Linked DNA regions of Caenorhabditis elegans. The protein of the gene in region 2 purifies or fractionates together with the protein of the main gene of each other region. This does not show direct contact. Each region holds a gene or a part of one and is shown on either strand. Other genes may lie near its edges.

Evidence for each region. Proteins that work in one complex are often made in the same cells at the same time.
Region 1: the proteins of rfc-3 (region 2) and fbxa-12 fractionate together in Caenorhabditis elegans (co-fractionation; one large-scale study listed by BioGRID). This does not show direct contact.

Annotation. Positions count from the first base shown.
Region 1 is NC_003281.10:2,217,366-2,223,762, reverse strand, and holds fbxa-12 (F-box domain-containing protein), read right to left. Parts: upstream 4,056-6,397; 5' UTR 3,967-4,055; coding exon 3,914-3,966; intron 3,190-3,913; coding exon 2,574-3,189; intron 1,605-2,573; coding exon 1,398-1,604; 3' UTR 1,322-1,397; downstream 1-1,321. Other genes in the region: srd-65 (Serpentine Receptor, class D (Delta)), read left to right, coding at 310-406, 460-600, 645-923, 966-1,044, 1,093-1,280.
Region 2 is NC_003282.8:13,092,129-13,097,580, reverse strand, and holds rfc-3 (Replication factor C subunit 3), read right to left. Parts: upstream 1,820-5,452; 5' UTR 1,813-1,819; coding exon 1,637-1,812; intron 1,593-1,636; coding exon 881-1,592; intron 820-880; coding exon 643-819; 3' UTR 501-642; downstream 1-500. Other genes in the region: dli-1 (Dynein light intermediate chain), read left to right, coding at 1-2, 53-283, 331-465; C39E9.12 (SAP domain-containing protein), read right to left, coding at 2,202-2,407, 2,457-3,194, 3,241-3,391, 3,436-3,570; prcc-1 (Proline-rich protein PRCC), read left to right, coding at 3,825-3,890, 3,949-4,452, 5,185-5,452.

The DNA of each region.
Region 1 (6,397 bases), on a different chromosome or scaffold from region 2:
GCCAGTGGGGATTTTGTCTAAATGCACTTATAATGATCCAAAACAACCGAATATCATCATAAAACACTCCAAAAAATTTTAGATTTTTCATAATTTCCGGTCAAATTGCAAATTGCCAAAATTTTCTCGACTTCCAAAATTATGAGTGGCAAAAACTGAGTAATTGCCACTTTTTGACAGTAAATAAAAAAATTTCAAAAATTTTTTGAAAAGTTTTATCATGATATTTGGTCATTTTGGGATCAAATAAGTGGTTTTTCACAATTTCCCCACTGGCGCTACTCCACCTTTAAGTTAAATTTTTTAAAGAAATATTGATAATGAGAATTCCATGGGGTTGCTGTGTGATGGGTTTTGTAAGTTTCTCGGGCCAACGTTTTGTGCGACGTGCTATAAAGCATATGCGGTGAGATATCCTCTTTCAAGCCCTGTAGGCCCTCTTGTCCTCCAAATTTCCAGACTTCTGTACTAACAGTGAACTTGATCAACTTGCACACTCTCTACTATCGCACCGTATGTCTGAAGTTGATCAACGCCCAGGAAATTGGCCGTAACACCTTGATTTTTTCTTGGCATTACCTGTTCATAATAGCCTATCTGGTAGCTAGACGTCGTACAAAGCTAGCCAATCCATATTATTACAGACTTCTACCTTGATTCCTCCCTCCGACCATCTGGCAGTCTACAATGAAACGCTAGCCCATTACCCTGAGTATGACTACACTCCGTATCTGAATTTTGGAGGGTTCAGCCAAGCTCAAAAAGTTTATCTCGATAATTCTACAGTGGCTATGTTCCTTGTCACGTTGTATTTTCCAATGATCGGCAGCTACTGGAAGCATCAGGCGATGAAGCTTCTTAAACCTCATGTATCCCCAAACACATCGGACGCTACACGTGTTATGTTTCGGAAAATGATTATTGTAGGCGTAAGCTTTTGTTATATAGCTTAATTTGGTTTCCAGGGCCTGAACTTTCAAATCTTTCTGCCGATGCTTAGTTATATCCCCGTAGTGTTTTTATTTATTCTGATTCAAGTCACTGGTAAGGGAAGCTTATCAAACCAATATAATTTGTATATATCACCTTTAGGCCATCAATTCCTGATCTCTCAGTACACAATAACCTGTCTAGGAGCACTTCCTTGCTTCTTGGATCCAATTTTTCAAATTTACTTCATTACACCGTACAGGAACGCTGTTCGGGCTTTCTTCGTGCGGAAGCCGTCTGCTGATGGTAGTTGGGCTACAAGAGTTTCAGCAGTGAACAGTGTTGCTTGAAAAATTATTAATGGGCTTTTTTTTCAAAAATGAAGCATGTTTTTTATTAAACTTTTTTAATGCACATATGAATAATTTTGGTCGTTTGGAAAATATAGAAACAAGATCCCTTTGTTGTCAGCATTTTTTAATAACAAACCGTGCTCTAATAGTAAGTGATGATTTGAAAGAAATTTCGAAGGTGCCAGTGTTATTAGAATATTTGATGTTATAGTCAATGTCGCCCATATAGTCCGGTTGAAATATTCTTGCAAGTTCAATTGATTGCACATTATGGTGAGTTGAAATAGTGCAGGTCTTGAATGTAGTTTTGTTCATGAGGTCCTGAAAAAAATTTGGGTATACAAGTAAGATGTCTTGACTTGATTTCGGTTTACTTAAATTTACGAAATCTGGTGATCCGTCGACTTTAAATGTATCTAAATCAAGTTAAAACTTAAGATAGCTATATGGTAATTTCATAAAAGTTAGTGCTTGACAAGTCGGTCAAATTTCAAATTTCGGTAATTTTTTAAACCACCGCAACTTTTTTCAGAAGGTTTCGAGAAATTTCATTAGGTTATTCATGCATACATACACACCACTACTTCATACATACATACTATATACATACATACTACATACATACATGTTGCATACATACATGTTACATACATACTATATACTACTACTACTACTGCTACTAATACTACATACTAGATACATACATACTACATACTACATACTACATATATACATGCTACATACTACATAAATACATGCTACATACATACATACTACATACAAATTATATACTACTACACACTATTACTACCAAGGGTGTCATTTTTCGATTTTTAGATTTTTCGATTTTTTCGATTTTTTAATTTTTTTCAGTGAAAATCGAAAAATCGAAAAATCGAAAAATTGAAAATCGAAAAACGAAAATTTTCGATTTTTCGATTTTCAGAAACCGAAAAATCGAAAATTTTTCGATTTTTCGATTCTCTGGAAAATCGAAAAATCGAAAAAGATTTTCGGAAAATTATCCTTAAAATATGATTTTTTAAATCTAATTTTGCTTGAATTTATAATAAAACATACACATTTCTTCTAAAAAGAAGAATAATGGCTAAAATATGAAGCTAATTTCTGAAAAAAAAAAAAAAAATCGAAAAATCGAAAAAACGAAAAACGAAATTTTTCGATTTTTCGATTTTCAAAAAACCGAAAAACGAAAAACCGACACCCTTGATTACTACTACTACTACTACTACTATATACCACATACATGTGAAAATCAGAAAAACTCACATCTCGAATTTTAATCGCATTTGGCATTGAGAGATTGTCAATTTGAATACTGAACTCTTCAAAGTGAAAAAAGTGCTCAATTGGTACTAGATCACAAAACAAAAACCGACAATGCAAAGTTCGTGCTTTTTTCCATTGGTCCAGACAAGTGATTCTTTCAGATAACTCGACTCCGTCGCGGTGCCATAATACAATATCTTTGAGCACTTCAGCTTGACAACTCGAAATGATGTTCAAAATATCATCATGTGGGAAGTTGTATAGTACTACTGACTCTACGGCTATACATTTATTTTCCAACATATCATTTATCGACGATGTGATGGCTTGTTGTTTTACTTTCGAATAGTTCTGAAAAACGAACTTCTTCACGTTTTTCAATACGCTCGCCAAGTCGTTGAACGCTGCTCGCATGAAATTGTCTTCTTCGATTTTTGTTTCTCGTCCTTTGTAAGTCACGTATGCAGTACCAGAAACATCGGTATATTTGATTTGACTTCCGTTTAAGTCCATCGCAACGAAATCATTACAAATGTCAAATGAGATTCTGTTGAGATGGTTTCCTGATTGGTCAACGGCGCTTCTCAGACTTTTGCACACTTTACGGCAGGATAGTCTGGAACATTGCATTTTTACTAAAAAGATTTTAAGACTCCTTTGAGCTGGAAACACTTATTTGGTACCGAAAAGATCAGATATAATCATGAAAAAAACTTAAATTTTTGGCACGGAATTCAAATTTTAATTTCCCAACAATATTTGGCAGAAAATTCAAATTGAACTTTTTAAAATATTTTGGAGCACATTTCAAATTTTTATCATAAAAAAATTAGGAACCAAATTCAATTTTAAAATTTTCCAAAATTTTGAATTTGAATTCAAATTCAATTTTTTAAAATTATTTGGCGGAAAATTCAAATTTTAATTTTTTAAACATTTTGGCGCCAAATTCAAATTTAAATTTCTCAAAAAAAAAAACGTTTTTAATCTTAAAAAAATATATATTCAAATTTTAATTTTTCAAACATTTTTGGCACGAAATTCAATTTTTTAAAGAATAAAAATTTTGGCGCCAAAATCAATATTTAAAAAATTTGGGTACAAAAATAAATTTAAAATTTTTAAAACATTTTAATATTCCAAACAATTTTGGCATAAAATTTAATTTTGTTATTGAACAAATAAATTTTGACGCACCGTTAATATCAACATTTTTAAAAATTTGTGGCGCGAAATTCAAATTAAATGTTTTTTGAACATTTTGGCGGGAAATTCAAATTTTTTAGCATAAAGTTTGACTTTCATTTGGAAAAATTTGTGAAATTATAACTTCAACTTACAGATCCATTGCAGGCAATTTTGACAAAATTTCATCAGAAATTTCCAAAGGCATACTGATAGTGAGCAAAGTTGGCGATAACTTGGACATTTTACTGGAGTTATATGTAAATTCAAACGTAAAAATGAACCAAAAACGTCTATTCACTCTCTCTATTATACAAACTCCAATGACGCATGGTATTTAAACATTTCCTCCGTAAAAAAAGTATGACTCCATCCGTTTTTCCCGAAAAAATATTTAAACTGATAACAGTCACACATTGGTATAATTTCATTTTACTCGAAACTTCCCAATTTCTTCAAATTTTACACTGAAAACTTCAGGTTTTTACTTGAAAAAAGAAACTTTCGAAAATGCCTACTTTACTAGAATTGCCGTTGGAAATTGCCAATCATGTTTTGAAAAGCTGGAGCCCATTGAACGGTAAGTTTTTTTGCATTTTAACAGCAATGCGAATTTTTCATTTTCAAATTTCAAAATATACAGAATAATCTCGAAACTCTTAAAAACTACGAAAAAAACTATGATGTTGAGCAACTTCTGGCCAATCAGAAGGGGCTGCTTTCCTCCGCTGAATGGTTAAGAATTGGGTGCAGCTAAATGCTGATTGGTTGAAAAGTGGGCGGAGCTAAACGTTGATTGGCTGAGAAATAGGCGGAGCTAAACGTTGATTGGCTGAGAAATAGGCGGAGCTAAACGTTGATTGGCTGAGATATAGGCGGATCTAAACGTTGATTGGCTGAGAAATAGGCGGAGATAAACGTTGATTGGCTGAGAAATAGGCGGAGCTAAACGTTGATTGGCTGAGAAATAGGCGGAGCTAAACGTTGATTGGCTGAGATATAGGCGGATCTAAACGTTGATTGGCTGAGAAATAGGCGGAGATAAACGTTAATTGGCTGAGAAATAGGCAGAGCTAATTGCTGATTGGCTGAGAAATAGGCGGAGCTAAACGTCGATTGGCTGAGGAATAGGCGGAGCTAAACGTTGATTCGCTGAAAAATAGGCGGAGTTAAACGTTGATTGGCTGAGATATAGGCGGATTTAAACGTTGATTGGCTGAGAAATAGGCGGAGATAAACGTTAATTGGCTGAGAAATAGGCAGAGCTAATTGCTGATTGGCTGAGAAATAGGCGGAGCTAAACGTCGATTGGCTGAGGAATAGGCGGAGCTAAACGTTGATTCGCTGAAAAATAGGCGGAGTTAAACGTTGATTGGCTGAGATATAGGCGGATTTAAACGTTGATTGGCTGAGAAATAGGCGGAGATAAACGTTAATTGGCTGAGAAATAGGCAGAGCTAATTGCTGATTGGCTGAGACGTCGATTGGCTGAGGAATAGGCGGAGCTAAACGTTGATTCGCTGAAAAATAGGCGGAGCAAAACGTTGATTGGCTGAGACGTCGATTGGCTGAGGAATAGGCGGAGCTAAACGTTGATTCGCTGAAAAATAGGCGGAGTTAAACGTTGATTGGCTGAGAAATAGGCGGAGCTAAACGTTAATTGGCTGAAAAATAGGCGGAGCTAAAATGGTAGGCTTAGACTTAAAACTTTACTTGCAGTGTTAAATCAAAAACTATTTAAATTCCAGACTAACCTGCCGTAAAGTCTGTCGAAGCTTGAGAGCCGCCCTTGACAAGCTTGGAATCCGTTTTGACACCATCAAGCTGGACGTTATGAGCGAAACCCTTTCAATACGGTTTGATAAGATTGAACTGGAATACACTGATTCAGCTGTGATCTACAAAGGACGGAAGACTATTATCCAAGAAAAAGATTTCATGGAGTTGGCATTCAAGGACCTGAAAATAGCAATGAACCATGCATCTTCATTTGTTCTGCAAAACTTTACAAGAAATAAAAACGAGGTTCTCAAATCTCTTGTGAATGTTTTGGAGAACGGAGGAAGCGTTCACGTGAAGAAAATAAATCTTCTATACCTAACATTCAACGAAATTCTTTCAATATTGCCGTGTTTTGAAGCGGACGTGCTGGACGATATTAATTGTTTGCTCATTGGCAAGGTTCTTGATTTTGAAAGGATCACTTTGCTGGATCAGTGGAAATGTGCAAAAAGCTTCCGATCCACGTATTATGGTGTTACAAATTGTTACCTGACAGCAATTGATCATTTCTTTCATTTCGAAGAGTTCTGTACAACGATTGTTCAATTTCCACAAGAAGACGCAATTAAAATTCGAGATGTAAGTTGCAACTGTGATAGTTTTTTTTCTCATTATCAGAAAATTTGAATTCCCGTCAATTCCCGTGGAAAAAATTATCTGTATATATATATTTATATAAATATATATATATATAGAAATATATATATATATATATATATATATATATATATACTATATATATATATGGAGTCATAAATATATAGGCACATCATATATATCATACACCACAGATATATGTAGTAAGTTGCAACTTTCAGGACCTCTTGAAAAGAAGTAGTTTCCGGCGTTGCATTATT
Region 2 (5,452 bases):
GTGTAAGTTTTACATAAGTAATTGGAGAATCCGAGTTCATGATTAATTTCAGGAGTCTATTCCGGATGTGGATTCAGCTTTAGAGCCGACTCGCGATAAGCTTAGACCTGTCGCAAAAGAGCAGCTCATCGAAGCCGAGGAAGATCAGGCTTTCTTGAAGAAGTTGATGGACATCCTGGCAACTTCAACCACTACGGCCGCTCCCAAGCCGAGGACTATGCAAGAAGAGCCTACCGATAAGGACAGTCCACTCGCCAATTTCTTCTCCAACTTGCTCAATAAGGTAAATCAATCTTAGATCTTTTTTCTATGTGAATTTCCATATTTCAGGACAAGCCGAGCAAGGTGAGCTCTCCTTCCACTGTTTCCCAGCCGATGGATGCCGCAGCCACCCAGGCCCAACTCGATCGTCTTCTGAAGTCTGCGCAAAGCCCGAAACCTCAACCCCGGGACAGTGATGCATAACGTCATTTTCATAATCTATTTAAATATTTTAAGCTTTATCGCCGGTCATTTTATTCTCCTTTGCGATACGATTTTTATTATATGCTGTTTCTGTAAATACCCACACAACCATAATGTAGTTCGTTTCAAGTTTATGATTACACAAAAGTAGAATAATATAATACGCGGGGACAGAGATCACTTGGGTTTAGAAGCATTAGTAAGGTAAATGTCCATGAAAGCGGCGACGAATCCTTCAAGATGGAAAATTGCTTTTTGTCCGAGAACAAGGCGATGCTCGAATTTCGCTGCTTCACTGACAACTTCACGTGCAATTTGTGGCGGACATTTGGGAAGGAGATGCTCGAGAAGTTTCTGAAAATGTATTTCTAAATATTTTTGAACATTTTATACTATTTGTGTGCTTATAACTCACCTTAAAAATGACAGTTGGTGGAATACATCTGGAGAGCAATTCGTACAATCGTTCGCGAACTTTCAGAAGCATATCGGAGCTCTGTTTCTGGAGGATCAGACGAGCAGTCTCTTGGATATAAATCTCCCATTCCGGAACCGGAATTACTACACTTTCAGCCACACCACTCTCGTTCTCCATTCTTAAAGCCTCAGTCATCAGAATAGCTCTTCTCAGATTTCCTTCAGACTTCTCCACAATCTTTTGCAAAACGTTCTCCGGAAGTAGAAAGCTCTCCCGTTCAATCACTTTCCGCAAGACTTTGGTCACATCTTCATCGGTTGGAGCTGGCACATTGATGATGATGCAACGAGATTGAAGTGGCTCAATGATACGGGACAGGGATTCACAGCTCAAAACGATTTTACAGTTATTCGCGTACTTCTCCATAGTTCGACGAAGTCCGTGTTGAGCATCACGAGTCAGTGAGTCCGCTTCACAAAGAACGACAACTTTGAACGATCTTTGAGAAGTTGATTCGATTTGAGACGTTTGTGCCATTTCTTTAACGAGATCCTGCACAACAACTCGATCATAGATTCCAACATCAGACGGCGTCATTTCGATGTGATAATTGCTCGAGACAGTCTGTATTTCAAGTTTTTTATTCGACGGACTAGTGAACGACTTCATGATGAGCTGCGTTTTCTCGACTCCAACACCGTAAAGCTCTCTGAAAAATATTATTTTATTTACTGAATTTACCAATAATTAAACCTCAACAGACACTTGATCCGTGTCTTTTTTCCAGCTCCACTGGGACCACAGAACAAGAGATGCGGCATACAGTCTGCGGAGAGAAACTTCAAATGATTGGCCTGCTCGATGTGATAATCAACGCCATCCTTTCCCAACAAGTCCTTTGGTCGATATTTGTCCACCCACAACGCCATTTTTGCACTAGAAAAGATTAATATTATATTGTCAGAGTAATTAAAGTCCAAAATAAGCGCGAGAAATAGAAGGTGGAACCCGAAAAGTAATTCCGCGGCACGCGCTTTTATGGTAAATTAAAAAATTAAACCGTGCCGCGAATTGCGCTTCGGGAATCCGGATCCACCGTATATTTCTTGCTAAAAAAATTAAAAGACATATTCAAAGATATCACAATTGTCGCAAACAATTGAATAGAGGAATAAATAAATAGAAAATAAATAAAGAGAATTGTAATAAATTAAAAGAATTCATTTTCAGAAACTCGACAAGTCAACAACGAAATATTTTACAGGTTTAGCCTAGTGAGACGAGTGAGTGAAGATAAATAAGAAAATAATTGAGATATCTACTTGATATTCATTTTACGCTTGAGTGCGATAATGTCGTCACGGCGCTTCTTGTTCTCCACTTGTTGTTTCTCGAGGTTCGTGGCAGCTCTTCCGGGGATTAATCCTTCCTCCAGTGCCAAAGTGAACTCGCGATCCGTCAATTGAGTCGTGTCGACGAACACTTTTCTCGTAGAGTGTGGTGTGTAACCAGCACGTCGTGGAACTAAAAATTGCTATGAATTAGCGAAAAAAAGATAAATATGAATAGTTACCTCTAGTTGGAGTGGTTCCTTTTGGCGTGGAAATGTACTCGGTGAATGTATCATCTTCTGGGACAGTTGCAGGAATGATTTTTCGAGAAGTTAAACGGCATGGTTTCGGGATTTGTGACTTGGTGAGCTTCTTCACGTCCACATGAGATCTTGCAACGGACTTTGTCTTTTTGGTAGAGGTGGTGGCAGCAGATGACGATGAGCAGCCAGCTCGTGAGCTGACAAGAGCGGGAAAATCATCAGCAGATTTATCCCCGAATTGGAAGGACATTTTCTCAGGATCCTGAACTTGCCAATTGCGCGCAGCAGATCTTGTAGTTGATCTATCAACTGGGTCACGTCTTGGCACACTTTTCGGGGTAGCAAGTCTCCTGATAGCTTCTGGGACGTCGCCGGTCATGAATTCGTGTCGTTTCTTCAATCGTTCTTGACGCTCTCCGAGTGTTTCTTCTTTTTCCATCTCTCTTGCATGAATCATTGCGAATCTGTCTCTTCCACTGGATGGAGCACGCTGACGAACTGGCGTAATTCCTCTGTTCTCGATCGGCATTCCTGGTCGCTCAGATGTTTGAGGAGTCGACGAACTAGCGCGGAGAGACAGTCTTGTCGAAAGACGATGAACTCTCGGGCGTGACTTCACCTCGAAGCTTTGCAGATCGATTCCCAAACTGCCACAGAGACGGTTTCTCAAGTCATCATCCAAAACGACAGCAACCGCATTTGTCGGAGTATTCTCGTCTGTAATAAAGCTGTTTAAATTTCAACTAAATGGAATATAACTTACGAACAAATCTGCCAGTAGTATTCTCAGTTTCTTCTTCCTCTTCAACTGTGAATGTGCGATTGGCAGGTGCTTCGTCGGTGTCCATAGCCTCGGCTTCCGGCTCTTCCCTGATTGCCTCCCCGTTTCCGGCATTATTTTGGCCAGCGAGAAACTGAAAAAGTTAAATTAATCACATTGTTTCGACTGAGTTCAAACCTCCAAAAGACGCGATTGAAGTTCCGATTTCTTTCCCGCAGTCGAAGCCCTTTTCTTCTTTAACTCCTTGCGAAGCTTGTCGCATGTCATGTTGAGCACGTCCTCTTCGGCGAGCTCTTTATTTTTGGCTGACATTTTACTGAAATTATTATTTTTATTGAATAGTGAGAACAGAAAAGCAAATGAAACAAGGAACAAATGAACAAGAAACAAAATAGGACTCAAGAAATTTCCCTCCATCGCTGTTTGAAAAATTGTGTTTTTCGCGCGGTGTACGTTGGAGCGCTGTTGCTTTCTTATTGTGTGTAGTCCTCTCGAATAAAGAAATCAATATTCGTATTGTTTATTTCGTCTGAAATTATTCGTTTCTTCGAAGAATTCTTCTCAAAATGGGCCTTGTGGATTACGCAGGAAGTGAATCAGAAAGTGATGAAGAAATGGAAACACAACAAAAAGTAAGCAAATTATTCTTTATTCAGTTTGAAAACATTTTCGAATTTTCCAAAATTTCAGAATTCACTCGCTCCACAAAATCAACAACTCGTCGATGATGAAGCATTTTTTGACAATACAGAAAAATCAAGCTCACCAAACATGAACAAAGAAGATGTTCTCGAAGAATTAGTAAAACCGAAAGAATGGGAGGTTAAATTGGCCGAGAAAGCAAGGAGAAAGCTGGAGAAAAAAGCTCTGAAAAAAGCACAAAAAGAAGAGAGAAAAAAGGAGAAAAAATTGGCGAAAAAAGCGATGAAAGTTGAAAAAATTCCGAAAATTGGTGGTGGAATTCAAAAAGCAAAAGGAAAAGTTATAATTTCGGCGTTCGGAGCTCTCGCAGGAATTACTGGCGAAAATTCCAGCGATGACAGTGATAATGAAGGTGCTGCTGTTGCTACAGTTAAGCCGAAGCTTGGAAACAGTTTTTTGTCAAACCTTCCAGCTCCAAAAGGAAGAGATAATCGTTCAGATGGTGCAAATGTATTCGATAAGTCCATGGTTCCACATTCAGTTTCTAAAAAGGTAAAAATTGAAAGTCGAGTGCGGATTCTGAGAAAATATACTTCTGATTTCGAATAACTAAGTAAAAAAATTTCCCTAATTTCTTATTTCAGCTTGAAATCGCCGATTTTCATTTGCGTCCCCATGAGATTTCCGAATTTTCACACCAGAGACGTCATGTGTCGATTTACGAAATGTGTGTATATTTACGAGATTTTCAATCTTAATCGGATGCTGATTTCCGGTTTTCTCAATTTTCGTCAGTTTTTGCCGAAACGTTTTTTGAAAATGTGTTTTTTTTTGAGGTTAATTAAACATTATAATATCAAAAAACTAACTAAATATTCGATTTTCAGTCAGGAAAAGCATATATTTGGATTTTCCGCTGAGTTGTGACCTAAGCATTGGAAATTTACTTGGTTTTTTGATAATATAATGTTTAATTGGCCTTAATAAACACATTTTCTCAAAACATTTTGTCAAAAACCGACGGAAATAAAGAAAACTCGTTGAAAAACAGAAATCAGCATCCGATAAAGATTGAAAATCTTGTAAATATACACAAATCTCGTAAATCGACACACGGCGTCTCTGGCGCGAAAATTCGCTGTTTCAAGCTAAAATATAAAACCGGGGAATTTTTGTTCGATTTTTGTCCCCATAAATATTAAAAATCAGGATAAAATTTCCAGATTTCTTCACTGAATTTTTATTTAATTTAAAACTTTAATTTTAAAACTCTTTCTCTTCCAGGCTACACCTGCTGCTGCTCCAGTTTTCAAGCCGGCTCCAGCTCCAAAACTGCCAGACGACAGTGATGACGATGATGACGGTCCAACCGATTTCTTCGGTTTCTCATCTGCTCCAACTAGAAAAGAATCAGAAATTCCATCAGAAATTCCATATATGACAATGAACAGCAGCATGGATGTAGTTGGGCCATCCCGTCCAGATGAAGGAATGGATCCTCGACAAATGTATGAAATGCCAGAAGAAGAAGAAGATGTTCAAGAAGGTCCAT